4 linked regions of the Mus musculus genome follow. The protein of the gene in region 2 interacts with the protein of the main gene of each other region in a pairwise test. Links are inferred from orthologs where the notes say so. Each region holds a gene or a part of one and is shown on either strand. Other genes may lie near its edges. The genes, in order: Rassf5, Smad4, Dcp1a and Pias1.

What was found.
Region 1: the proteins of Smad4 (region 2) and Rassf5 interact in binary tests that used the Homo sapiens proteins (3 or more experiments, as listed by UniProt). The link is inferred for Mus musculus from reciprocal best matches to the Homo sapiens genes SMAD4 and RASSF5.
Region 3: the proteins of Smad4 (region 2) and Dcp1a interact in binary tests that used the Homo sapiens proteins (3 or more experiments, as listed by UniProt). The link is inferred for Mus musculus from reciprocal best matches to the Homo sapiens genes SMAD4 and DCP1A.
Region 4: the proteins of Smad4 (region 2) and Pias1 interact in a two-hybrid assay, tested with the Homo sapiens proteins (2 studies listed by BioGRID and IntAct). The link is inferred for Mus musculus from reciprocal best matches to the Homo sapiens genes SMAD4 and PIAS1.

What each region holds. Positions count from the first base shown.
Region 1 is NC_000067.6:131,242,122-131,246,664, forward strand, and holds the start of Rassf5 (ras association domain-containing protein 5), read right to left. Parts: upstream 3,058-4,543; 5' UTR 3,010-3,057; coding exon 2,568-3,009; intron 1-2,567. UniProt on the Homo sapiens protein: Potential tumor suppressor. Seems to be involved in lymphocyte adhesion by linking RAP1A activation upon T-cell receptor or chemokine stimulation to integrin activation.
Region 2 is NC_000084.6:73,700,874-73,705,493, reverse strand, and holds the start of Smad4 (mothers against decapentaplegic homolog 4), read left to right. Parts: upstream 1-1,702; 5' UTR 1,703-2,064; intron 2,065-4,620. UniProt on the Homo sapiens protein: In muscle physiology, plays a central role in the balance between atrophy and hypertrophy. When recruited by MSTN, promotes atrophy response via phosphorylated SMAD2/4.
Region 3 is NC_000080.6:30,520,747-30,524,605, reverse strand, and holds part of Dcp1a (mRNA-decapping enzyme 1A), read right to left. Parts: intron 3,017-3,859; coding exon 2,951-3,016; intron 1,879-2,950; coding exon 1,660-1,878; intron 1,381-1,659; coding exon 1,300-1,380; 3' UTR 1-1,299. UniProt on the Homo sapiens protein: Necessary for the degradation of mRNAs, both in normal mRNA turnover and in nonsense-mediated mRNA decay. Removes the 7-methyl guanine cap structure from mRNA molecules, yielding a 5'-phosphorylated mRNA fragment and 7m-GDP.
Region 4 is NC_000075.6:62,978,015-62,982,515, forward strand, and holds the start of Pias1 (E3 SUMO-protein ligase PIAS1), read right to left. Parts: upstream 2,866-4,501; 5' UTR 2,858-2,865; coding exon 2,834-2,857; intron 2,514-2,833; exon of another isoform or gene 2,500-2,513; intron 1-2,499. UniProt on the Homo sapiens protein: Functions as an E3-type small ubiquitin-like modifier (SUMO) ligase, stabilizing the interaction between UBE2I and the substrate, and as a SUMO-tethering factor. Catalyzes sumoylation of various proteins, such as CEBPB, MRE11, MTA1, PTK2 and PML.

The sequences.
Region 1 (4,543 bases), on a different chromosome or scaffold from region 2:
AGGACACTTCATACCTAAACTCCCAAGATATACTATCCGCTTCCTGCTTCCAACTCCACCACCAAACAAAGCTTGAAAACCGTACCCCATGCTTATGCTATGTGGCAGAGTGAGCCCCAGGTAGCCATTAATGGTCTTAAATGGGAGGAGACAATGGTCACACTTATATCTAATTGGACGTTCATTGTGTACCCTGCCAGGCACTTTTCTAATCAACGTACACGTATATGATTACTACACTGAATCCCCACATTAACACGATGCTGTAGATAAGATCATTATCCACGCTTCTTAAAGACAAGTGAGGGCAACACAGAGATTCATGGGGTCACACAGAGACTAAGTGACATTTCGGATTCAAAGCCGGGACTTTGGTTCTAGTTTGAGGTGTGCGTGTGTGCCTGTGTCTATGTGTACGAGTAGCTAGGGTTGGCCAGTGAGGGCCAGACAGGACTCTGCCGGTCTCCACTCACCGTCCAGCACTGAGGTTACAAGCATGTGCTACCATGCCTGCTTTTATTTATTTATTTATTTTAAATGTGGGTTCTAAGGATCCAGTTCAGGTCCTCATGCTTGCTTTGCCAACTGAGTTGCCCCCCTCTTCCCAGCTCCAGGATTACCTTTTAAAACATCCTTTTCTGACCCATGCTTTTCAAAAATGAAAATAAAACAAATAAACCCTCTCAGAGAGCCAGACCTCAGCTTAGCACCAGATGTCTGGTGAGTCTGTCCTGCACACCAAAACTGTCTCAACTTTCTCTTGGTCAGCCGAACACTCACGGTTAGTTAAATATTAAAAAAAACCAAACAAACAGAGATTCCTTTCTGTGGCCTTCCTGACTTCAGTTCTGCTGCCTCTTTGGTGTTCAGGCATCTCTGGCTGGTAGGAAATCGACTACTCAGGGGCCACAGGAACCCAAGAAAGTGAAAGGACCTCAGCAAGTCGCAGGCCAGTGGGGATGCCTTGTGGAAGGAAACGGCAGGGAGGACACTATTTCCCAAGTGCTGGAAACTATTTAGGGACGGAGCAAGGGAAATAAACAACTCTCATGTGGTATGAGGATGCTCATTTCGTCATGGAGTACTGCACAGATACCCACAGAATCCTGCCAACACAGCATCATTGCTAACCAGAAGAATATCACAAACTCAGAGTAAAGCTGACAGTCCCTCAAAGTCTAAACAAGCGGGAATTGCAACAAGCATATTCTCACAGACAGTGCAGCTTCTGGAATTTGAGCCTTAGTAGATCCATAACAGTGAATCCACTGCCTCATCCTCTGTGTCCAGGGCTAGTGGGTACTGCAAAGCACTCAGGAACACGGAGGGAGATAAAGCTAGCAGCGGGCCCAGAGGTAAGTTGCACTGGATTCGTCTGCAGGTCAGCAGCATTTACAAGGAACAGCAGCCCGTGCACAGGACTCTACATGCCCAGCCTTCTCCTTAACAGGCACCTGTATGGGGGATGCTCATGGTAGGAAGAATAGTCCCCCTTTTTCCTTTCACATATTCTGGAGCGGCTGAGGGGGAGCTGTTATGGGCTAGAGTGAGGGTAGTAGTGCTAGCTGCTGCTGTCCAGTGTTGCAGTCTGAAGGAGGCAACAGAGGATGGCCCTTTACCAAAAGATGTGACTGTAATCCATGTCCACAGATGATTGCCGGAAGCTGTCATTGCACTGCGTGCTTCATATGTTCAAAGGAGCTACGTAAACACACGGGTATGAGTATCCTCTGGCAACAGCAGATCCCTGGGTTGGTGGGGAGGAGACTTATACAGGGATACAGACTCACCATTGGCGAGAGGTAATGATAAGCCCTAAAAAGAGCGCAGACTTGCTCAGAAACTCTCTATACTGGTGCCCAGTGTTACAGTAAGATTGGGAGAAGCCAGCAGGCCAGTGGGGATGCCTTGTGGAAGGAAGGAACTGGCGGGGAGCTTAGTGATTTTAGGGCTGGAAGGCGGGTGCAGGGGGACAGGAGGAGGAAGAGGAGGCCACGAGGCACAGTCACACACTGGAGCAGAGTATAGAGCGTTGAGCCAGGTGTGGAGGGCTGAGGAGGCCTCAGGTGCAGGTGACCTTGGCATCTTTCAGCCTCACAGCCTGCTTCCATTCAAAGCCTAACCAGGCTTCCCATGCCAACAGCTCCCTAGGAGGAAGAGCCTGAGAGAACCTGAGGTGACCACCGAGTCATCTCCCCATTAACCCTAATAAGTGTCAAATACTCACTTCGTTGTCAATATCACTACCTCATTTTTAAAACTCACAACTAAAGGAAGAAGAGGGTGTGCGTAAGACACAATGACCTTGTGGAGAGCCATCAGTCCCAACCTACAAACAAGCTTGTTTACGCGCACGGGGGAGAAGGCTCAAACCCGTCTGAGGATACGTAACTGTACACATACAACTACCTCTGGTCAGTGGGCAGCCATTAAAGGATGCCAGGCAGTGACAGCAGCTGTCTCCAAAGGTAACCTGCCTAAAAGTTCGGACTGGCCACAAAAGGCAATGGCCTCCTCTCCCGGGCTCAGAGCCCTTCACCTCGCGCACCTTCCCCGCCCTCACTCACTAGCGCAGCGCAGCGCCTGCCGCAGCACCTCTCGTCCGCACAGGTCACACCAGCCCGGACCGCCCCGCAGCGCCAGTTCCACGAAACGGTGCCCCTCGCCTCTCTCGGCCAAGACGCGGGGATCCTGCGGCTGCTCGAAGATGCTCCTCACGTCGCGGGGTCGGTGTGACCCAGGTCGCAGCCGCAGTCTCGGCTGCAGACCGGGCCGGACAGGGCGAGCGTGTCGGCAGTCTCGGGGCGTGGGTTCGGGGTCCCTCCGGCCACTCCTCCTGCCACCGCGATCCTCTGACGCCCCGGCCGCGGGGATCAGGGCCGTGGGGATGCAGCGGCGCGGCCGGGCGGGAGGTGGCGGCTCGGTGCCACCCAGACTCTGCAGATACCGCGGCGGCTCGGGATCTAGGAGCAGCGGGTAGGGACGTTGCCCGATGGCCGGGGAAGCCATGGCCAAGGCCCGCAGGCGGCGGCAGCTACCGAGCCTGGCCAACAGAAGGGGCGGCTCCGGTCGAGCGCGCTTTTAAAGGGCCCGCAGCCCGCGGGCGGGGCGGGGCGGGGCGGAGCCCACCGAGAGGCCGGAAGGGCAACACGCGTGACTGCGGGTCGGAGCCGCGTGGATTTAGGAGTGACTCGGCGACTAGGCGGTGGTGAAGGTCCGAGCACCCGAGAGGCTTCGCGAGCTCGGTAGGCGCCGGCTCCTGCGCCTGTCTTCAGCTCTGCCCCGTCCCCTCTGGGCGTCTCCCAGGGCGCCCTAACACCGGCGGGGCGGGGAGCAGGTGGGAAGGCAGGGCTTTGGCAACCTGGTGTGGCCCCGGGACAGGAGCTAGCCCGCCGCTGTCAGTAAGGCGGCCCGCGGATTCTCCGAGCTGCCCGTGGGAAGCTGGCTACATCAGCTCTCTCCCTTCTCACCTCTGCTACATAGACTGCCCCTCCCCGAAGACTGGGATTAGAGTGACTGGTGATCCTTGGTGATCCGGTGATCATGAGAGACCTCTCTGTGCCCCATGGGTGGACAGGAACTTTCCTCCCGAATTACGCCCCTCCCCCCTTAGTTGCTGGAGTAATCACTGCGGAAATGAATGCCAATCCCTTACACACCTCCTTTGGTATGGAAGGTCCACCTGAGCAGGGGCGCAGGGTGGAGAAGTCCGCATCCTACCAGCACCAAGGGGTGCGCCATAGGTTCCTGTCTGGCTTAAGGTTATGTCGCCACCATCTTGAAAATCCTAATTCTTAACCCGGCCTATTCTTTTTGCACTGGGTCTTGAAAATTATGTAATGGTAATAACTAGTGGGCCTGTCCACAGTGCCGTCTCAAGGGATAGAGAACAGGTGGGACTGTGGATTTTCGAACCTGTGCCCGGTCGGTCGGTCGTAGGCTAGCAAGGGTCCTGGGCCCTCTACAGGCTGGTTTTGTAGCTGCAGGCGCCTTTGCTCTTTCCAGTTCTGCGGTTCTGACTTAGGCCTAGCTCACATTCCCGCCTCCCCCTGCCCCCCTTAAATTACAGGTTTGATTGATTTAGTGGCAGCCACCAGCAAGCAACTATGGGAATAGAGTCACTGCACCAAATTCAAAAATTCTGTATTTTGGGTCTCAACAAACCACTGGTAGAAATATTGGGGGAGGGGCATGTCTATAGTGAACATGTACACACTCTTTCTCCTTACTTATTAAATAATACTGGATAGCAATGATTCATATACACTTTCACAGTACCGGTGTTTAATATAGGCGGGGTTAAAATGCATAGGTTCTCTCTGCACACAAGCTACCTTATAAAAGGGATGAGAACCCTCAGGTTAGAGTATTGGGAGCAATAATGTATGTATAGAATGTGTGGGGATTCTGAAACCAGACCTGGAATTGTCTATAAATTCGCCTACATTTTAATCTCCAGGGTTCTTTCCCGGCTAGTGATGGGTCTCCCCCTAGTGTCTGGCTGGGGAATCCTCACTTTCACTTTTCCTCTCGAAGGTAAATT
Region 2 (4,620 bases):
GGGGGGGGGTCTTGCTTCTGTAGAGGACCAGTGCCTGGACACCGCAGGAACAGTAGGTGTACTGCTTTAACCTTCTAAAGTGTACCGTGCTATACAGTCATAAATACCTGTTACAGATGGAATAGAAGTTGAGTGATAGATAGTAAGACAACTTAGTTTTAATATTCTTCTTTCAGGAGCATCCAAAGGGTCATGAGTTGATCTACAACCAGTTTTAATGATCTGCCAGCTGAAAGATCTTCCTTCAATCTTTAAAGTTGTATCCTTTGAGAGTGTCATACATGTATCTATACATTGTATATAGATCTTATCCACTCCAGGCTTTCTTACAACAGCTCCTGGACTCCCCCACTGGAATATCCTTTTCCTAACTTCATATCTCTCTCTCTCTCTCTTTTTATATATAACTCAATTTGTACTGCACCTATCAATTTTGATGACAATGAAGAATTGGATTTGTGAAGGAAATTCTACTATCGATTCATTTAAGTGATTTATTTTCTCATTGCAGACATCAACTTTTGAATTGTCCCTTTGGCTTACCCTGGGGGGGCAGTGTTACACATTGGTGTGTGTTGTAAAGTTTCTCCAACAGACTTAAGAAATGACTTGGTCTAACAGCTGTACTAGAAGGAACCCCGAGGGAAGGTGAAAAAGGAAACAAAAAGACAACATATAATTCATGTTTCCTAGACGTCTGAATAAATTTAAAGTTAGGGTCTGTCTATTTAGTCCTGGTTTGAAATTTGCCACGTAAATCCACCAGGCTGGAGCTCCTTCTGTCTCTGCTTCCCAAGGGCTAAGATTTACATGCATGGGCTGTGATTTAAAGCCAGGGACTATACGGCAGGCTTGTGTTCTAGCTACTAAGTACAATATTCATAAAATTATACAAGAAAGTAAGTACAAAGTCAAAATCAAAGACGGGCCTTTTGCCACCAAATGCACCACTTTTGTGGTGGGATGGACCCAGGGCTTTGTATATGGACAACAAATTTTGAACTGTCCCTTTACGTTGCCCTGAAAGTTTTAGATAGCGGACCACTTAAGTAATGAGAGGTAGTTTTGACTTGTTTTGTAAGGTGTGAAGTTCTGAAACTGAGCTTTCTTTACATCCCAGCCTGCACAACCTATTTAGCAGGTGTACACTTAAGCAAGTCTTGAAGGTCGCCTCCAACTCGAAATTCCCGCCTCTTTCCCAACTGCTCACGTTTGGCCACCTCGGGCTAGGCCCTGGAATGTGACTCCTTGACTGTCGCGCGCGCCTCCGAGCTCAACCTTTTGGAGCCGGTGTGATGAAAGGGACAGAGTGAGAGATCCGCTCGGAAGTAAACTGCTACAAACACCCGCACTCGGTCCAGCTGTGTCCACCAAGGTCTTCAAAAGCCAACCCAACCCGGCGGGCCTGCCCATCGCTCATCCCGAGCTGTCCCACGCTGCTTGGGTACTCTGTGAACCGCACTCCGTGTCTGAAGAGGGCATCCTGCGAAAAGGCGACTCCCCTCCGGCGCCGTTGCTCGCTCGCTGCTCAAACTCAGCCAGAGCCGCCGGGCTGCCCGCGGGCGCCTGCGCACTGGGACCCTCCCTGCTCTGGGCGGGAGGCGGGGGCAGCGGGGAGAAAGGAGCGCTGCGGGAGGGGAGCGGGGGAGGGAAGGGCCAAACCCTGAAATTACCCGGATGTGGTCTCCGCGCGCGCATGCTCAGTGTCCTTCCGACAAGTTGGCAGCAACAACACGGCCCTGGTCGTCGTCGCCGCTGCGGTAACGGAGCGGCTCGGGTGGCGGAGCCCGTGTTCGCGTCCGTCCGCCCGCCCGCCCGCCGTCCTCCGGAGGCCCTTCCCGCGCCGCGCTCCGCTCCGCGGCCGTCCCCGGGGCGGGAGCGCGTGACCGGAGCCGGCGCCCGCGAGCGAGGCCCCCCGCAGCGGGGCGGCTCCGGAGCTCCAGCGGCCCGGCCGGCCGGCGCGGTCCGCGGCGCGGCGGGGAGAGGGGGCCGCCTGGGCCGGACGCCGCGGGCGGGGCCCGGGAAGCGACAGCGAGGCGAGGCGCGGTGCGGCGCGGAGCCCAGGTAACGCGCGGTCCTCCCCTAACCGGGGCCTCGGCGCCCGCGCTTCCCCGCCCCGGGGCGGGCTCCCGCGGCGACCGGCGCGAGCGTGGGCCCAGCGGGGCTCGGGTGGGTCGCCCCCGCGCGTCCGGGGCTTCGCGTGCCCGCGCGTGGCTCCCGGGCCCCAACTCCTCTCGCAGTTAGGCGAGCCCGCCGTCCCGGGAACTCGGTCGCCGGTCCCCGTCCGTGCCGCCGCTCTTTGTTGTTCGGGAGGAGTTTGGCCGCGGCCCGGGCCGTCGCGTCGGCCCGGCCCGAGTGCGTTATGCCCGGGGTGCCCCGGGTCGGGTCCTCGTGCCTTCCCCACCTCCCCCACCCCCCAGCAAGTGTTTGTTTTCTCTTTGTCCCCACTTTCTCTTCCTGGTTGTGTGCTCTGAGTTTACGTTTGTAGCTTTGATTTGTTTACTTTTTGGGTATTGTGGGTGATGGCGGCGTGCGGGAGACACTCTTAGCGCCAAACTGAACCACCCTCCCCTAATAAAACGTGTCTCCTAATAAAAGGCGTAGTTTATTTTATTGTTAGGGCTACATGCACGGAGCGTGAAATTGGTGGAGGGTGGAGGGCGTTGGCTTCAGCACCCCAAACTGCTGTTATGATTTCTCAAGCCAGATTTTCAAAGACAAGGGCGTGTTTAGTTAACTTGAAAGGTTCCTTTGCCAGAGGTTTTAAAAAGCCCTGTTTATTGATAGCTCCTCCCCACTGCCCCACCCCACAAAACCTGGAGTAAACTTAATTTTTAAAGTTGGTTTTCAGGTAATTCATTTTAGAATTTATCAGTGCCTTCAGTTTCTGATAACTTAAGGTGGGATTGTCACTTACTTAGAAATAAAGTAACGAGATAAAGAGGGAGTTATTTTAAGTACCTTGAATTCGTGTTCTGCAGGCTTGTAATCTCGCTTAATTTTTTAACAATCGTTGAATTTTGCCAGATTTAGCATCCTTTTCCTCTCAGTAGTAGCTTGAGACTTTGAACGTTTTAAGAATCAGGTTCAGGACTTTCTGCTGACACAAACCGTGTGGAATCTTAACTGAATGTACAGAAATCTATTATAAATTCCACAAAGCAATTAGATTTCAAGCACCGCATTTGAATAGTTTTTGTTACAGATTTTACAGGTTTACCTTGCATTCAGGATATGAAGCGCTTGCAGTTGAAATGTATGTAGCATAGGCTATTCAGAGAAGTAAACTTCTCCCTACTGTAGACTCTATCTCTTGGATCTATCTGGTAGGATTAGTACGTGTTATTTCAGAGTGTAAATGATTGCTTTAATATTTCTTAAAATACAGTTTCTCCCTAATGCTTTGTTCAGTGTACTGTCATGAGTCTCTAGGGCTTCCTGCTCCTCTCTTCAACTCCTGACCATCCGTGTCTCTCAGCTTCTCCGGAGCTGGGATACAAAATTGCGACACGGTGCTCATAGGCTCAGGAGTGTGTTTTCTTCAGTGACCTGGTTACAAACATGCACCGAGGCAGACTAATACCCATAGCCTGAAGCAGCTTCTGATGTGATGAATTATGTAGGCTTCAATTGCCGGAATTAAAACAAATCCTTTCCAAAGAGAATTGACATAAAGGTTTTTAGTTTTTTGTCACTGTCTTAAGACAGGTGGCTTTTTTTTTTTTTTTTTTTTTTTTGCTTTCTAGGCTTTTGAGTGAGTATGCATTAAAGGGGTATTACATATTTTTGTTTTTGAAGATGTAGTTGACACTTTTGGACTAAATGCTTCCACTGTAAATCTTAAGTTGGGAAGAATTAAAATTGTGTTTACAGAATTAAGGAAAATTTGTGCTAAACAAGTCAGTGCAGTGATTTGGCGTGTGTTTTATATGGACCTGAACTTCCCTGATGGTTTTGCTCTTGAAATAGTTCTGATTATATGAGTTGTACAGATCTTGCTCTTTCTTTAAGGTCATTTTCATGTATGCTACATGTTAATTCAAGTGTTTCTGTTGGTGAGTTTTGTCTCTGGATTCTCTGCTTCACACACACGGGGGAGGGGCCGTATTAATGGTGGAATAGTAAAATACTTTATGCAGGATCCCCCCCCCCCCCCCCCCCCGTTAGAACCTGTTTTTTTATTTTTCTAACTGAGCCAGAGTTATAGTAACATTGGCACACACTATTCTAATTGAGCTGTGCATAGCTGGGGCCTGTACCAGGGCAGTTAACCCTGCAGAGTCTGCAGAGTTGGTTAAATCTAAAGTGCATATTTGGGCTTCTTTAAAATTTGATCTCTAGATGAGAGCACAATCCTTTTTTTTTTCTTTTTTGTTTTTGATGAAATATTACCTACTTCAGTTCTATTTTGTCCCCCATCTAGTTGATGCCTAGGTTTTTGTTTTTCTTTTCATTTTTGATTCACCCAGAATGAGTGTCTCTTTATAAGCATCTTGTAATAGCTTTCTCAGTGCTTCCTTGTGGTTGGATACCCCGGCCCTCCACTGTGCTGGGTTAAAGCCGTGAGGAGGACTGACTCAGGTGGTCCTCAGTCAGGTATACAGCTAACCCGACTAAAGG
Region 3 (3,859 bases), on a different chromosome or scaffold from region 2:
TAAGCAACTGTCCCGGCGGGACCGCTGCGTCTGTCAGCATTATTCACAGCGAATCCTTACGCTAGCTGGTTGAGCCAACTGGGTTCTTACCCATCATTAAATAGTGCTCAGAAAAGTAAGCAGTGCATTAATTGGTTAAATACTAGAAAATGACCTGTATCATAGAAACGAAGACACTTTTCATTCAAAGAATATCTCAAAATTACTATTGCTGAAATAATCAAATTCTACATTAAAATATTACCAAACACCATTACATGCCATAAAAGCATAAATAGAAACCATGGCAGATCAATAGCAGCATCACAAAGCATCTTTACAGTTCTGACTGCGGCCAGAGAGCTCGCAGCCTAGGATATACTGTGAGGTGCTAGGTCTCACACTTGCTTTCTGACTCCAGAGTCTACAACTAAGGAAGGAAGGAAGGCAGGCAGTGTGAGCACAGCTCCCTTTCTGCATAGCTTTAAACTGCTCAGCACATTTGAGGAATGGAACCAGAATGGCTTTGTCAGAATGGTCCACTGGTCCTTTTGCCAAAGTGTTAAGGAAAACAATCAACAATAACTTGAACTGTGTTTAGACAGAAAAGGAAAGTAAGGCTGCGCTTCACACACAAACTTGACACTTAAACTGCTGAGAGTTCACTAAAATGGAGCCTTCTGGTAGGATCTGGATCTGTGTGGCCCCGGCCTCTGCTTCAAGGGTGTGAAGCCTCCTCCATCAGAGCCCAGCCGGCCTATCCCAAGAGCTGTGCTTCACCGGAGTTTGCACAGGGCAGGACCAGGGACACTTACCGGAACACAAAGACATCCCAGAAGTCTTAAGGCCCAAGCGGGGTGCTCATAGAAAATATACTTCACTTGAACAAATACCTTCCAAAGAGTCAACTTAAATTCTGATCCTTAAAACCTGAAGCTACTCTGTGAGCTGACATTAAGTTCTTCTAGGAGTAGAGGAGGGAGGGCGTGGGCTCCACTGAGCTCTGCTGCAAGGCTGGTGGCTCCTCCCGAGGCCTGGAAAGCAAGCCGGCAGTCAGGCTCCTCATTCCACCCACTGGCTTGTAGCTGATGAAAACACCCACGTCACTCAACACAATGGTCTCTTGTTGTTTTGTCAAACAAAGGTTTGCTGGTGATGCTGCACAGTGAAACCTCCATCATCACTGAGAACGTCTCTAGGAAACATCCTTACGGACAAGGCTCTCAGGCTCCTCAAGCTCCATGCTCTGCTTAGCTGTTCCATGAGGAAGCCTGCGTGTCTTGAGGCGGACCCTCTCCCTTCACATTGCCTTCACTGCAGTCATAGGTTGTGGTTGTCTTTGTTCTTGGTCAGAACCTGCAAGTAAACTGCATGAAGCGTACTGAGGAAGCTGGAGTCATTCTGGAAGAGAAGGCAAGGAAACATTGCCTGTTACTTCCTCAGAACTCACCCCATGCTAACCCCTTAGGAAAACACAGAACTGATTGGGGGAACTAATTCCCCAAGTAACCTGCCCCCAGAGGCAGTTACAATGACAGTCCAGGTTTACAGCCATTATTCCACCAGGAGGCTATGCCTGGGGAAAGAGGCTACTGCCAAGGCAGGTTTCTGAACTTGCACCAATATACACTAAGCCTTGTTAAGATACAAAGTTAAAGACAAAGCTGACACCCTGCATACCTTTATTAGGTGTATCAGTGTGTCCTGGAGCTGAGACTTGCTGAGGATAATGGAAGGCTTTCTCTGACTCTCTGCTGTCCCAACAGTGAGGGGAGAGGGGGAGCTGGCTTTCCTCTCTAGGTCTGCGGCCCTGGGAACCGTTTGCTGGAACACACTGGGGGACAGCAGGACTGAAGATACTGCTGTGGTGGTTGCAGGAACCAATGGAGAGCCTGCAATCTGCCGGGACACAGAATAATAGTCACTTTTGTTATCTGAGACACTTAGCTTACCCTGCCCCCTTCCCTTAAGATTTTATTTTATGTGTATGGGTGGTTTGGTAGCATGTATGCCCATGGTGTGTGTGTGTGGTACCCATAGAAGCCAGAAGAGGGTGTTGGATCCCCAAGCAAGAGCATCGGTGCCGCTCAGCAGCCACAGAGCCAGCCCTCCAGCCCTCTTAGCTTGCTTTTTGGTATAAAACTGGGCTAGTTACTTCTACTGATGGCCACACAACAGGACAGGCTAACCTAAAGCAGACAGAAGGCTAACCTCTGAAAATCCAGGAGAGGGGTACAGGCTCATAAGCAGGTGAGCAAGTGCCATGGAGAACTGTGTCTGTCAAGGTTGGTGCATGAAGGGGAGTGGTGGATAACAAGGCGGATGCTTGAGAAAGAAGGAGTGAAGTATGCAGGCTCAGGAGCTCTGCTATCAGAAGTGAGGGATTGTGGCAGGACAGTGCCTGTCTCCTGGGACTCTTCACTTTCTAGGTCAAGGAGTACCTCTTACTTAGAGAGACCAGGTTGATACAGGCCCCAGCACCTACCCACTTACAAATGATCCACATGGCCCACCCAGTGCCTGACACCCTCTATACAGTCAAGAAGACATCTATACAGAGTTAACATAAGGTCTTAAGCCACAGCAAGGAATTTTGCCGAGAAGCAGAGCAACTCTGTCCCAGAAGGGGCATCTGAGACAGGACAGAGCTGGAATGTTACAGCTTTTCACTGAGGTAGTAAGAACCCATCTTACAACAATAGAACCCAAAAGTGTTCAATGTGATCTCTGGGGGTGGGGGGCCCCCTGGGCTAGGGAAATGGCTAAGTGGGTTGAGTGCCTGCTACATCTGCACTATGTTGTCTTGTGAGGACATCTGGATGGGTATGGTGGCCCAGGCACAGGGGGGTAGAGACTGTAAGTTGGCTTGGCTCAAGCAGAGACCCTGACTATTTAATATATAAAGTGGACACTCAGTTCCAGCTCTGGCCTCCACACAGGTACACACAATTTGGGGTGGGGGCATCCTTACCGGGATGGCACTGGGTAACACCTTAGGCTGGGAAAATACTTCAGGATCCTGGTTTTGCTGCATAGACTGAAATGTTTAATGGGGAAAACAGAGAAAGAGATAGAGCAAGCTTCAGTTAGTTGCATGTGACAGAGCAATATCAAGGAATGGTTCAGAGCCGAGAGGAACTTGTTGGTAATGCTCCCAGTGAATGAGCCTCGGACAGCAGCAGCTCCTGTGGAGGTTCTTGAGAGCATGTGTGGACAGAACCTGCCAGGTGACTCTAAGAAAAGTGTGACAGCGACTGAACTCAGGGTCAACTCTACTAGTGAGCCCTATCCTCAGTCCTGGGATTTGTTTCTGTATAGAGGTTAAGGGTTCCTTGAATTTGCACTCTTCCTGCCTCAGTCCTCTCAAGCAGCTATCATACACAAGCAGAATGTGTACAATATAAATGATTAAGAATTTGCTCCTGCAGCACTGAAAGCTGAACTCAGGACCTCGCATAAAACAGGCAAGTGGCTCGACTACTATGTCCGCAGCCCCAAGCTCTTCAAAGGTTCTCTGAGTCTGGTTAGTGGCACTAAACAGCCTTCATCCTAAGTATACTGTAAGAGACAGAGAAGGTCCTTTTGTTGTTTGGTTTTGAGACCTGGGTTGTTCAGGCTGGTCTCTAACTTGAGACCCCTCTGCCTCAGCTTTCTTCACTATGTTTTTATAGGTGTGAATGCTCATGGTCTTTGGGAAAGAATTAATGCTGCCCAGTAAACACAAGACAACTCCATGCAGACCAGGGTTTTTTTGTTTTGAGAAAGGATAGTCCTGGCTAGCCTGGAGCTTGCTATGTAGACCAGGCTAGACTTGAAATCACAGATTGCCTACTGAGACTAAAGGCATTTGCCACTATATCAGGCAAGAAGATCTTAAAAT
Region 4 (4,501 bases), on a different chromosome or scaffold from region 2:
ACACAATGACACACCAATGTGTCAAAACACTTATTATAATTTGAAAAATTATACAACAGAAACATAAGAGTGGAAAACAAACCCTCTGGAAATTTCAAGTAGCTTTTAGAGAGGGTGAAAAAATGGAGACCAGTTTTAGAAAAATACCATTTCCATTAAGTGTTCAGAGTCTGTGTGATACTGACTCATTTCTGTAAAGAGTAAACTTTACCTAACAAGACTCACACCAGGAATCTCATCTATCCCCAAAGGCACTCTTCTTTCTTTTTCCTTTTTCTTTATTCTATTTCTTTATTTTATCAAGACATGATCTTACTAAGTAGCTCTGCCTATCCTGGAACTCACTCTGTAGATCAGCTGATCCTCAAAAAGAGATTCACCTGCCTCTGCCTCCCAAAGGCTGGGATTAAAGGTATGGGGCCACTATGCCTGGCCCCGAAGGCACTTTCTTAAAATAGAAACAACAAAGGTACTCTGTTCTTTGCAGGTACTTTTCCCATATGGTTTTCAAGCCTTACTACATGGTCCATGTATAAAAAACTTGGCCAGCTATTTTTCAAATTGACTCCTAAAAAGTATTAGGAAGCAAAGATAAGACAGCAGCAACTCTGAAGAGGATGGGGGTGGCACATGCTTTTAATCCCAGCACTTGGGAAGCAGGAGGCAGGCAGATCTCTGAGTTCTGAGTTTGAGGCCAGTCTGTTCTATAGAGTGAGTTCCAGGACAGCCAGGGCTACACAGAGAGAAACCCTGCCTCAAAACAAAATCAAAAATAAAAGATGACAGTAACATAGTGACAGAAAAATAATTACATAAAATACACATACTTGAGCTCTGGGGTTTTTTGTTCGTTTGTTTTTATGCAAGGTGGTTGTCTCCAAAATGTTAAATTTCAGAGGCTTTCTTGGTGAAATCAATAGTCTGAAATTGGGATAAAAAAAACTATCCAAGTCAGGAATGGTGGTGAATGCCTTTAATCCCTTTAATCCTAGCACTAAGGAGGCAGAGGCTAGAGGATCCCTGAAGTTTAAAGCCTGTATGGTCTGTCTACACAGTGAGTTCCAGACCAACCTCAGCAACATAGCAAACCTCTGTCTTAAAAAAAAAGGGGGGGGGGGCGCTATCCATTAAGATTTTCTGTCTTAAACAAGTTAGTAATTAGAAGTAAACTTAAAAAAAACAAATACCCAAATCTTGTACAAAAATCTTGATATGTTAACACTCCAAAGTTACTAAGGAAAAAAAGATCTTCCAGTGAGGCTTTTACACACACACACACACACACACACACACAGGTGCACGGAAAGAAAAGTGTCCAGAAACACAGGTAGTGGTCTGCTTGTTTTAGAAGTTATTTCATTATAATGGGGAAAATAATAATTTTTTTTATTGATTATAAAAAGAATTTCTAAATCTCCCTGAGGATTTATAATTGCATAGCCCAATCTCCACTCTGACAGAGATGTGCTATAACCAGCTGTTTGGTTCGCACACAGGAAGCCAGAGAAGGGAATACCATGTTCAGAGCCTCTAAATAATATGCGTTAGTTAAGAACTGCCTGCCTGCTACTAAACCAGAATTATTCAAGCAGAGACCCATTTGTCACAATCCAATCATAAGGGTTCCACCAGCCCTCCCCCAACTGCTTGTGTAGTGGTATATGTGCTTCAGTAAAGGAGCCATCATCAGGTAAAGATTGGGGTGGGAGAAAAAGCGGGGGAAAGGGGGCACCCTTTCATCTAATTTCGCGAGGCATGAGTAATTGGTACAGTTGAGAGGAACGATGGAACGTTCTATTTATTGGAGGTTGGGGTGGGATGGGGGGTGGGTGGGAGGAGAATTTCGTTTAAATCAACATGGCCAGCAAGATGTCCCTAACAAACAAAAGGCAACGGGGGATATAAACACGAACCATTCACCTCCATCAGCTATAGCATCGCCATCATGGTGTGTTTAGAGACCCCCAAGGCTGCTCTCATCTGCCACACCAGAGACAGCAAGAGTGCAGAGAGGTGGCTGCATCCCCACCACCGCTCCCAAAAGCACACTCTTTCAATGGGTTGCTCCCCACCACCACACACACACCCTCCCCGGTGGCCCGAAATCAAGAGAGAAACAGTAACGTCCCGCCCGGGCAGACTCCCCCTGCAACCCTTTAGCCGAACCCCCAACGCCGGCTCCGGGCTCGCTAAACTTTCCAAGAGCTTCTCCCTCGTATTCCCTAGCCGATTGCCCCGGGATCGCGCATTCCCTCTGGCCGGGCACCCATTGACAGGCGGGCGGGCAGCGGCGGCAAGCGAGGCGGGGGCGCCTGGGCGCCGCGGAGGGGCGGGGCGGCCGGAGCCAAGTTCCCGGGGGTCCGAGCGCTGCGCCTGACAGGAGCCCGGGACGGCGAAAGAGGAAGAGGAAGCGGCAGCGGGGCAGTTTTCCCGATCCCCCTCTTCCCAGAGCAGCCTACACCCCCCCACCCCCTGGCTGCCCATGGGGGGGGGGGGGGGAGGCGGGCTGCAAGGTAAGGCACCCAGGCCCCGGGGACCGCCGCTGCCGCCACGTCCCGACTCACTCTCTCTTCGCCCCGCCACCCCCGCCAGAGGCGCCCACAACAATAACACGCCGGGGACGACCCGTCAGCGCCCCCGAGGCACCCGGGGCCCACGGCCCGCCGCAGCCAGGCCCCCTCCACTAAGGCCCGGAGCGCCTCTCCCGCCTACAACTCCAGACTCGGGTGGAGCCCGGCCCGAGCGGGCCCCCCAGGGTCCGACCCATCCCCCCGGCAGCCGCGGCGCCGTCTCCGCGGCCGAATATTAGAAGTGAATTCGAGCTGCGCTTTACCTTTAGTTCCGCACTGTCCGCCATCTTGCGTCTGTCAGCGCAAGCGCAATGAAGCTCGCCGGGGGCCGCGCTGGAACCTCCCCTCTAGCGGACTTGACTCCGCCTCCACCCCGCCCCTCAGCCTTCCCGCTCCGCCCCTGGCCTCCGCCCCACTCCAGGAGCTCGCTGCCCCGCCCCGGGCACGCACAGCTGCGAGACCCACACGCACTATTTAAATAATGGCGCCAAGCGGGAGTTTGACAGTTACTACCCCCTCGGCCTCCCCGCCCCCACACTGGCCGAGCCAGTAGCGCCCAGGGAAGAGGCCACATCTGGGGAGGTGTTGGCCTCAGTCTCATCCTTCGGCTGCCCTCTGAGCCCCAGTTGACTGAAGCCACGGCGCGCCCCCATGCGCAAGATGCGTTCTGCACCTGTACCCTACCCAGCTGCCGGTCGATCACAACTAGCCAATTAGTCAGTTTTGTCTAAGGAGAATTTGACGAAGCGTTTCTGGGTTTACGCAGATCCTCATGATGAGGCAGTTAGGCCAAAAAAGAAAAAAAAAAAAAAATATATATATATATATATATATCATTCCCATGGTATCTTTTCCGAAATAAAAGCTCTGAGGGGAAAAAGGGACTCTCCTAAACAGCATTTAACAGTAGTAGCTAAGGCAAATTCTGAAGACATTTATTCATCGCGTCACCCTGGGTAGTCAGAAATTAGAGAAGATCCCTGACCTGTCGCTCATGGGGTACAGATCTGTGAACTATTAAGATATAATTACTAATGGTGATGAACAGCATAGAGATTAAAAGGCTCACCAAGAGAAAAATGGATTGGGGGGGGTGGGGTGTGCTTAATCCCAGAAGGGTTTTCTTCACCTACATTGATATTTAGACTTACTCCTATCTACTAAAAGCTTCCTTCAAAACCCCAGCCTTTTTTAACTGATCAACTTTTTACTATCAAAATCCTCTTAACATTTGGGTTACTCTGAATTCAAGAAGGCCAGGTCCTGACCAGTGACCTGGATTATTTCACTCCCACATGCCCACATGTTTTACTCCAGTATCTTTATAGTTCCAACCCCCTTTCTTCAAGGAATCATTTTCATCAGCATATAAACATAACCAAAATTCCTTACTTAAATTTATGCTTCCTCTGGATCCAAAATTACCTTCAATGGGTACTCTATTTCTCCGCTTTCTTCACTGAATAAATTCACAAACAAGACTTCATTTTTCTACAAGTACTTGTTCCCATTTCTTCAGTGGCATTACCTCCAAACCTATCCTGAGGCAGCTCCACTGCCTGCCCTATCTTGAGCTCTCATCTACACCTTTTCGAAGCCCACTCTCAGTTCCCAGGGCTTACCTCAATTGCCTAGAGGGAACTGCTAACAGTTGATGTGATTGCTTTCTCTGGAAACAGAGTTCTTGAACTTTCCTCCACATCACTGCCACTGTCCCAACATTCCATTCCTGTCTCTTTACTAGGTAGCTTCCCCACCCCCACCCCTATTCCTCTCTCCTCGTCTCTCTCCCTCCTTTCCGCCCTCCACCCTTTTTCTCTCCTGAGTCTCACTATTCAGCCCTGGAATTTGCTATAAAGACGAGGCAGATCTCTGTGAGTTCGAGGTCAGCCTGGTCTACAGAACTTGTTCTAAGATAGCCAAGGCTACAC